Linked DNA regions of Drosophila melanogaster. The protein of the gene in region 1 interacts with the protein of each later gene in a biochemical or structural test. Each region holds a gene or a part of one and is shown on either strand. Other genes may lie near its edges.

Region 1 (5,833 bases):
GAACCGCACTTCCGGTATCCAAAGCGCACACACCACGTGCGCCCACTGCCCGTGGTCCGTCTGCTTGAATGCGCCGCCCGCATTGGGACAGAGCACACAGTTCACAGGCTTACTGGGTGACTGCAAGCATCGGCGGCACAGCCACTGGCCCTCCGGGATATAGGGGACACCGTAGCAGTCCTGGTGTACCGCCAGGTTGCACATGTCGCAGAAAAGTATCACGTTGGTGTTTTGGCACTCGCCGTCGAGGCAAATGCAGCAGACTGCGTCGTCGTCCACCTCGACGCCTGTGGGTGTGCCGTTGGCCGCCGCCTGGAAGTGCGACTCCTTCTCCAGCCGGTCCATCAGCAGCTCCATCGTGTCGATGCCCACGGCGTTCAGGCCGAGTCGCTGGCGCTCCTCGTTCATGTGCTCCAGCCAGGCGGAGTCCTCCTCGTCAACGTCGTACTCCACCTCCCCGTCCAGCTCCTCCAGGGACTTTTCGATGAAGCGATAGTAGGCCAGCGGCCGTGGCGGGGCGTCGGACACTCGGTAGTCCGGAATCTCGGCCACCCTGGCCACGGGCACCTGGACCCTTGCCCAGGGCGCGTTCTCCTCCAGCGGTGGTGCGTCGGCATTCAGAATACAGCCCCTGGCCACTAGGGCGGCGAACTCTTCGTCCTCTACGAGCGGCAAGGCGTCGTCGATGCCCAGGCGCACGCTCTTCCCGTCCAAGTTAAACGTCACCGTGGCCTCCTCCTCGTTGTAGGACACCAGTGACTCTGGATTGGCGTACTGCCGGGCGCTGACTCCGCTCGCCGATCCACCTCCTGCGCTGGCCGAGGAGCAGCCGTTTCTGGCCTCAGCTCCACCGCCACCCGGCGTGGGGTGATCCTTGTGCGGACGAGGCGTGGAGTGGTGGCCGCCGGAGCGTGAGCGCGCCTTCTTGCGGCTCGGAGTCAGCACGGGCGTGAGCGGCTGTGGGTTGTCGTGGTCGTACTTCATAAGATGGTATTGCAGACCCATGATGGTCTTGTAGCTGCGGTCGCAGCCGCGGACGGGACAGGCGAAAGGCGGCTGGGACTGCTGGGTCTTCACCCCTTTGCAGTATTCCACTGCGTCGAAGTCGAGGCCCATGATCTGGATCTGCGGCGCGATCTGTGGATCTGCTGCAGCTGGCTTCTCGGGGTTTGGCGGTTCGCTGGTCGCGGATCGCGGGCACTGTGTCTACTCCGCGGCACGGCTGCGCATACGTATGTGCATCCCACGGTGGTCGTCGCAGAGCGCGCGGTTTTGGCTGTCCACCGTTCCTGGTCGATTTTCGTTGGCTTGTTGCAAATTTTTTAACAAATGTGCTAGAGATGGGCTTGCTGGTCAGCTCGCCATGGCGATACTATCGTCGGAAGTGCTTGTGCAGCACTGGACGTTTGCTGAAACTTGTTTGAAATATTTCCGGTCCTTTACGCAAATTAATTCTCTTCCGTAATCTATATTTATAATTTAAATGTTCCTTTTTGTTCTTTCCCTTACCATTTTCCCTCAAATTTGTTTACAATATGTTTTTTGGGGAGCCGTGCAGCACTGCTTTCTAGAGATGGTAGTGGCGGGAACGTATTGGAACTGGTTCACCTAATGTTATACTTTCAAAATTTACAGGGCTAGAAATCCAGTACGTAACTATTTAAATAACCCAATAATATTATTTTAAAGAATTCAAATAAATATCTCCCAATATTCACTCAAAAAACAAGTTTTGGTTGTGTTTTTCATTTTGCGCGGGAACTTTATCGCCCGTGCAGTGTTGGAAAGCAGAGGCATAAATGCGCCTTACAGCACCCGACGAGCTGTTAACTGTCAACAGTGCACAATTAAAGGCATGTTATCAAATGCTGACGCGCGTCGCAATTGCCGCCATTTGAAAAAAACGATAAAATCGAAGGAACCGAATCCGGATTTGCAGTTTGTCAGATACAGTCGCTAGATATGGAGGACATCTTGGGCGTGCTGGGCTCGCTTTCGGACCTGCGCAGGGAGCTCGAGGTCCTGCGCAAGGTAAGCCAGGATCAGGAGACGAAATTCCGACACTGTCAACATGGCGTCATATGTGTTTTTTAGGCCCACTTTGAGGAGCTGGACCACCTCTTCTACGGCACAGGCCAGCCGGAGGCGGAGGCCAAACCGAGGGACAGTGCTCCGGCAGCGAAGAGTCAGGAGAACTCTTCGGTGACGCCGCAGCAAACGAAAAAGCGCCCCAAGCGACTCACCTCACTGGCCGAGGATCAGAATGAGCCCGAGGGTGAGTATCCTGGCCATTTTAAAGCATTAACGACCAACAACCCCTGTGATATTCCATTTGAGCAGCTCCAGACGCCACGGCCAACAACACGTCGGCCCGTCAAAGCACTCGGGTCAGCAACTCCCAGTTGCTGGCTATCGCCGAGGACGAGCACAACTCCACGGCCTCGCTGATGCCGCCTCCGCCTGTGCCCGTCTCGGCGGACACCACCCTCGGCTCCGGAAGGCCACAGCGAGCCGCTAAGCTGAAGACCGAGAAATTACTCAAGGAGCCCTCACTCAACCGTAAGATGCGGCGGCCCAGCAGCGAGGAGCTCGTAAAGGTCAAGGTTGAGAGCGAGCAGCGAGTCTCCCAGTTTAACAGCTTCACCAGTGCACAGGCGTTAGAGGAAAATAAACTAGCGGAGCCGGAACTAGAAGAGCCAGCAGCAGAAACAGCTGAGCAGCAAAAGCCTCCGGAGGAGGCCTCAGTCACAGAGGACGTGAACACCACGAAGACACTCCGCGTGAAGGTAAAGCGCGAGAAACTCAGTACCGAAGCAGTGCCCCCGTTAACCAATGCGGTCTCCACGGCAAATGTGACCACCGTCTCCTCTGTAACAACGGAGGCAGCGCGACCGGACGATACGGTGGCCAGCAACACGACGACATCCACGGAGGTCTCCAAGAAGGTCCGCAAGAAGAAGAAGGACGTGGAAAGCCACCGACCCATAAAGGTGGAACGATTCAGCGACCTGGACAAGAGCTCGCCAGTCTCGTCGCGCACGCGCAAGTGTAGCAGCGATTCGCGAACGGTTCAGGAGCGATCCATATACAAGGATGCACTCGAAGATCCGCCCGTTGCAGAGCAATCAGTGGCTGCAGTTGCTCCGGCTGCTGTCAATGAGACCGTGGCGATTTCCAACGCCACCCTCGTACTGGGTCCTGCGCCGACGAGCGATAGTCCAATAGGACCAGCTGGAGATGCCACTTTTGAGGTGCACTCCAACGACAAGAAACAACCTCTGAGTAAGCAGGACAGCCTCTTAACGGAGGACGAGTCGGTGGAGGAGAAGCTGCCGACGACCAAGCTGCTCTCGAGCATAAAGGCTATAAAACTGCCTACCCGTACACATGAGCTTTTCAAGTGAGTAGATACCCTGCCTCTTCATGCATGTTATCCTTCTAAACAATCTTTGCACTTCTACAGCCCACTGCTTCAGAGTCCAGTGAAAATGCGCGTGGAGGCGTTCGAGAATGCGGCAAACGCACAGAACAGCATGCGCCCTAAGCGGGGAAAAGATCTGGTAGGTACAGTATAGTTGCACATATATAGCAGGCAGATAGCAGGCAGAATTAGGCTAGACTATTCACCAGTTCTGTATCAATTGGCGCTTTCTAGAACTGTTTGATAGGTGATTCATTTATTGTTATTTTTTTTTACTCTTCAGCAGGGCACGCCAGGATCAAACAACACTCCCAAAATTGGCAAGCTGCCTGCTCCGACTGTTGGTCGCTTTTTCACACCGACTCAAACGACAAGCACACTACCATTAAGCTCGGCGCAGCCCAAGAAGGGACCTGCCAGCGCGTCTAAGGCCACTAGTCTGCTGAAGACGGCCACCGGTACGAACCTAAGGTCGGTCAATTCCACGTCCACAAAAACGCTGTCGCGCGAGAACAGCGGAGACGACTTCCGCAAGGGCCTGCACAATCTGGCGGAGGAGCGCAAGAAGCTGCGTGAGCAAAAGCACCAGCAGGCTGCCCAGCAGCGCGAAGCCAAGGAGCGGGAGCGGGCAGAGCGTATGGCCAAGCTGGCCGCCGAGCGCGCCAAGAAGCAGGAGGAGCGAAAGCGAATTGAAGAGCGCAAACGACAAGAGCTGGAGGAGCTGCAGCGGAAGATGCGCCAGCAAGAGGAAGCCGAGGCGCTCAAGAAGGCCAAGTTCAAGGAGCTGGAGCAGCAGAAACTGCAGCAGCTAACCGGCGCCAAGCCCAAGAAGATGCTTCCGCCGCCGCCGAAAACCAAGTACACCTGGGAGATGCTGCACGAAGACGACTCGACAGACGACGAGGGAAAGGTCACCCACAAGCGTCCCCCAGCGCCCACCTGGAGTCGAAGTAAGTTTGTGGATCATTTCGAAGAGTTATTTTCGAGATACCTTATTCATCGTAAATATATACAAGTAAATACACCAGATTACAGTCTGATTTCCATTGGGACTACTAAAGGAAATGTTCTTAAATATAGATTCTGACTTATGTGTTTATTTTCAGGCCACGTAAGGGGAGAGGCAATTGCTATGCAGAGCCACTGCCCAACCGACATCATCGACAGCTTTTTCTCGGTGGCGCCCACCACACCGGACCTAAAGCAGATATTCCCGAACATCGATCCCAGCCAGCTGAAGCGAAACTCCAGCGTGCTGTGGTCCACGCCGCCGCGCTATTCCGAGCTGCCGAAATACTAGCCAAGTAGTCCTGCTCTCTTCTCCCGTAAATGCACATGTTTATGATCGAATAAATAAAGTTAATTGTGAAAATTAAAGCGGAGTACCGCTGCGCGATTCACTGCGACTCTGACACTAATATCCAGCTGCTTTAGAACTATTAAAGCCGCCAGCGTGCTCAATTAATGGTTCGCTGGTGGCTGCTTGCCGATTCCATTAGCCAAGTTGCCCAACAATGGATACGTCGATTCGTGAAAAGTGTGAAAACGCAGAGGAGGCAAGTAAACGAAATAAAAGAAAACAAGCCCGGCAAACACAATTTCACTGGTCATGGGGCATGGTTTTGTGGCATGATGCGCAGACGATCGAAAAGACTGCCTCGATTCGATTCTCCTCCATCATGTTTCCATTGCTGCTAATCCCACTTTTCCAACGAGCCATTCTCATTTTCAATCGAAAGCCGAAATCAGCGGAATCGGCATGGGCAATTGGCACAGTAATTGCTGCTGATTAGAGTCGACTCCATGTGGAAGTCGCCGCGGATCCACCCATGAATATGATTCGATGGGACCATCTTAATCCGCAATCTAATTAAGGCGCGTACGCTCCCCAAATTGCCACTTTCAATTGTTACTGTTTCCGTTTAAGTGCACTCTGTTAGTAGCTCCACTTCCCCACGGACCCAAGTCGATTGGGGCTGAATCTATGTGAATTCCATGTGGCACATTGGATACTCTATCAAAAACTGTAAGGAAAGATAGTAACACATCTAAATGAATAAGCTCTAAAATTCCATCAAATGCCACTTTTGTGATCCATCAGTTTGCAATTCTTTAGAACTTTTGAAAGACCAACTTTTAGATTTTCCCATGTTGGTCTTCCACCTGATATTACAGCCTAACAGAGTTGCCATCAGCATGCCAAGTAAAAGAAACTTTTTGCAAAATACAGCATTTGCAGCTCCAAATCAAAAACCTATTTTGAAGAATCGAACTGAAGACTGGCTGCGTAGTCTTCCACTCGCGGGCACTCTTCCGAAGAGCGGCCAAGCGAGTTGCGGTTTCTCGTTTCTTCGGCTCTGCGCGAAGTCTTCGTGCTTCGCACGAGTCAGTTTGAGTCGAGCGTTCGAACGG
Region 2 (4,028 bases), on another chromosome or scaffold:
GGGCAGCGGCACAGTGCCTGGATCGGAGAACACGGCCTTGGAGTGGGACATGGCCAACAGGAAGACGACGGTGTTAAAGAGCACCACATGGAAGGACATCCAGAGGCTGTCGCCAAGTGGGTAGATATATATATAATGACGTCATGGTGCGTACAGTATGCATTACTCACCTGCCCGGCATGGTGGTCAGAATGATCCAACGGATGACCACATAGTCCGCGTACAGAACTGCTCCGTAGGTGACTACCAAGCAGGCGATGCCACAGGGATCTCGGATAAAAACCATTGCTCTGCTGCCTGCGTCTTGTTGGACTGACCTGGGTGATATTGCCTCTCCGCCCCTTCTATTTAATTCAATTAGAAACCGAAGGGGCTGATGTTCCTAGCCCCCCTCCCCCTGAAAATCGAGGGCCGAAAAATAACAATTGTTGCTGTAGTTCCTCGGCTCGTCTGGCGACCACCGATCCACTGCTGGGCGGGATACGAGGCTCCTGGTGGCGGTCTCGTCGGCTGCCGCACTTTGCCCACTCACTGCTGGGTGCACGATTCACAAATCGAGCGTTTCATCGAAATTTTAGGGCTTATTTTACGCTTGAAATTGTCATTTATTTATTTAGGGTGACCGTTTGCGGGAAGCGCGAAAATATAGCATGGCCCACGAACTGGAACTAAGTAAGGCATGGGCTTAGAAAAATTAATTTAAAAGGGGTTAAATTAGAAAAAGGTAATTTAAGTAAGTTACTACCAATAGATTTTTATTTTTAAGCAGTTTTCAGATTTCAAAAATATACTCCAAACTTCATTAAATCTTATAAACCGTTTATTAAACATAAAAGTAAAATCTGAAATAAGTCGTTACACAATGCAAACTCGAAACCAGTCAATTTCTGGCCGTGTTCTCCTTGCCGCGCTCCCGTTTCTGCAGCTGCAGCTCCCTTTCGGCCATTCCCGCCTTCACCCAATAATGGGTCATCACATCCACCAAGGTGATGCGGCCCTTGCTTTCCTTGCGAAGCAGCTGCAAAGATGAAATCCCTGTTCAATAAATGGATCTCAAAGGAAACATCTTCCAACTCACCCCGCCAATCAATTCCTTGCAGCCCTTGGACAAATGCGATGGGTAGGAGATCTCCATGCGCCGGATCTTGCTGTAGGTGCTCTCCGTGCTGTTCGACTCGAAGGGCGGACAGCCGACGACGAACTCGTAGCACAGAATGCCCAGGCACCACTGGTCCACCGAGTCGTCGTAGGAGTTCCCATCCACCATCTCCGGCGGCAGATAGTCCAGGGTGCCGCACAGAGTCCTGCGCTTGTTGTTCGGCGTGTGCGCCGACCAACCAAAGTCGGCCAGCTTAAGGTCGTCCGTGCTGGTTAGCAGAATGTTCTCCGGCTTCAGATCCCGATGGATCACGTTGTTCAGGTGACAGTAGTTGAGGGCATTCGCCACTTGGTAGGTGTACTTCGCAGACCGCGGTTCATCGAATCGATGATTGGGTGCGCCACGCAGGTGCTTGAACAGCTCGCCCTCGGACGCAATTTCCAGGGCCAGATAGATGCGGCTCTCGTCGTGGAACCAAGTGAGCAGGCGCAGGATGTGCGGGTGCTTCAGTCGCGACTGGATCTCGATCTCGCGTAGAACCTGACGCTGCACGCAGCCCTTGCGCAGCTCCTCTTTGAACATCACCTTCATGGCCACCAGATAGTGCGAGTGGCGCTCCCGCGCCAAGTAGACACGTCCAAATTTGCCGCGTCCCAAGTGGGCGCCCATCTCAAAGTCCCGGGGACTCCAATCGTATCTGGAGGGAGCAGATTAAGTACGGATTGATACATTAGCTTATTGCTTGTACGTACGGCTGTCCGTATGCGTCGTGGGACATCATCTTGAGGCACATATTCTTGATCGGCTCCTGGTGCTCCTCGGGCACCTTGGCCAGCAGGTGCGGCAGGTGGTTGCGGTTGGCGTGCTTCGCGCGGGAAAGCGTCATGGCGCTGACTTGTTTATAATATTATGATTTTTAAGTAAATTAATTATTTTAAGTTGTATTTTCTATAAGCGTCCCTTTTGTTTGCGCGTTTTTTTCGAATGCTGAGATTAGTGTGACCGCATGCTAGAATCGAGTTATTCTGTGACTCTCAGTGAAGCAGTTAAGTCACTGTATTTTTAAATTCGGTCAACGTATAATAAAATATTTTCATGTTTCTTAAATAAAAATTAATCTTCTAGTTTTGTTCTTATATTGTGCATAGTTATTATAATATACGCTTCTCACCCGTAGGAGAATAGTTTGAGTGAAGGGCATAGAAAACTGTTTAATTATTATAAACCATAGCTACCAGTGCTCAAATCATATCAGATGTTTAATAGATTTATATTATTAGTTGTCTAAATTTATTTAAATATACAATATCAATAATATTTATATGTATATATAAATAAAAATGTTTTGCATAATATAAGTCTCGAATACCTCTAACTAACCATTGAAAATGAGCTGCAAAAAATCCTTTGGATTTCCCGACTATTCGCAATCTGGCCACACTCGCCATTAGTCATTTTTTACACAATAAACGTAAATTAAGCGAATTTGCAAGCGCTATTCGGAAGTTTTTAGGCTAATCGAAAAGATATAAGCAGCCCAAAAGAGATTTGGAAAAAAGCGAAAAGGTCTACGCAGGAGGAAGTACACCAAAAGCGTGCTTTCAGTCGCCGTGACGCACCGAAAATCGATTGGAGAGGAAAAACAATAGGGAAAACAGACAAAGATCAACTGATTTGGATTTATTGACCCCAGGGCAGCGCAGATTATTGGCAGATAGCCGAGCGAGCGGTTTGGTCATAAAGATGGGAATCTTTGGGCAGTCGTCGCCATTCGACGCCGACGTGGGTGAGTTACCACTTATCGTTAAGCTGTTGTGTTGGCCGATTGGACAAGCCGATGTTCCAATTGGACTGCACAACGGTCCAATATGCGTTTCATAGTTTTCTATTCTTATCTGGGGTCTAAAAACCCGCACACCACACCATTTTCCCCTGTTTTCCCTATGAACCCGATCCCCCGATTGAGCAGACAACAAAGAAAGTCATGTGAGATGCTGTGCGCAGCTCTGCGTCGTTCGTTGAACTTCTTATTGGAGTTGTTAGATGGCAGTCGCTGACCTTGAGTGACGTAGCACCCGCAGCCCCTCACACCCCCTCCGTTTACGCAGCCAACCCCCTCGCCATCCCTTAATGCAATTTAGTTAGTTTCCGATTGTATTGATTTTCTTTAGCTGCAATCAGTTTTCGAAGAAGCTTATCTTTGTTTTGCTGTGACTCAGAATATAAATTTCTATTTGACTGATAAGCTAATGCGGTTCATGCCTTTCTTGTTTTATAGAAAAGGCCACCAGCGAAACTAATACCAACGACAACTGGTCTCTGATTTTGGATGTATGCGACAAGGTAACGACCAATCCCCGCCTGGCCAAGGATTGCCTGAAGGCGGTGATGCGCCGCATGGGCCACACCGATCCTCATGTGGTGATGCAGGCGATTACGCTTTTGGACGCCCTGTCCAACAACTGCGGAAAACCGCTCCATTTGGAGGTGGCTTCACGGGATTTCGAGACGGAGTTCCGCCGCCTGTTGGCCAAAGCACAGCCAAAGGTTTCACTGGTGAGTACAAACAGTTTTAACTCACTTATTTCATTTCTAATTCCAATTATGATTCACAGAAAATGCGCCAAGTGCTGAAGAACTGGGCTGAAAACGACTATAAGAACGATCGAGAGCTCGACTTGATACCCGCACTCTATGCCAAGCTGCGCCAAGAGGGATATGATTTCAAGAATCTTGGCGATAAGACTAGCAAGACTGTTGCCGAAAAGGCCGCCGCCCTGCCCAAAGATCCGAATGTGGTCAGCAGCCAGCAGGAAGAGGATGACATCGCCAAGGCCATCGAATTGTCGCTGAAGGAGAACAAGGGCAGTCCAAAGACTGGGAGTGTAGCAAGTACCGGCACCGCCAGTGCCTATCCCTCATTGTATCC

What was found.
Region 2: the proteins of Incenp (region 1) and aurB form a complex in vitro, tested with the Drosophila melanogaster proteins (one study listed by BioGRID).

What each region holds. Positions count from the first base shown.
Region 1 is NT_033778.4:7,276,767-7,282,599, forward strand, and holds Incenp (inner centromere protein), read left to right. Parts: upstream 1-1,839; 5' UTR 1,840-1,962; coding exon 1,963-2,031; intron 2,032-2,094; coding exon 2,095-2,275; intron 2,276-2,340; coding exon 2,341-3,400; intron 3,401-3,463; coding exon 3,464-3,560; intron 3,561-3,704; coding exon 3,705-4,371; intron 4,372-4,527; coding exon 4,528-4,721; 3' UTR 4,722-5,029; downstream 5,030-5,833. Other genes in the region: Br140 (Bromodomain-containing protein, 140kD), read right to left, coding at 1-1,116.
Region 2 is NT_033779.5:10,855,993-10,860,020, forward strand, and holds aurB (aurora B), read right to left. Parts: upstream 2,103-4,028; 5' UTR 1,986-2,102; coding exon 1,852-1,985; intron 1,797-1,851; coding exon 1,079-1,796; intron 1,019-1,078; coding exon 881-1,018; 3' UTR 805-880; downstream 1-804. Other genes in the region: Dnz1 (DNZDHHC/NEW1 zinc finger protein 11), read right to left, coding at 1-106, 171-286; Stam (signal transducing adaptor molecule), read left to right, coding at 2,843-2,885, 3,378-3,655, 3,715-4,028. UniProt on the Drosophila melanogaster protein: Serine/threonine-protein kinase that mediates both meiotic and mitotic chromosome segregation. Required for histone H3 'Ser-10' phosphorylation. Phosphorylates mei-S332 within residues 124-126 and stabilizes its association with centromeres during meiosis.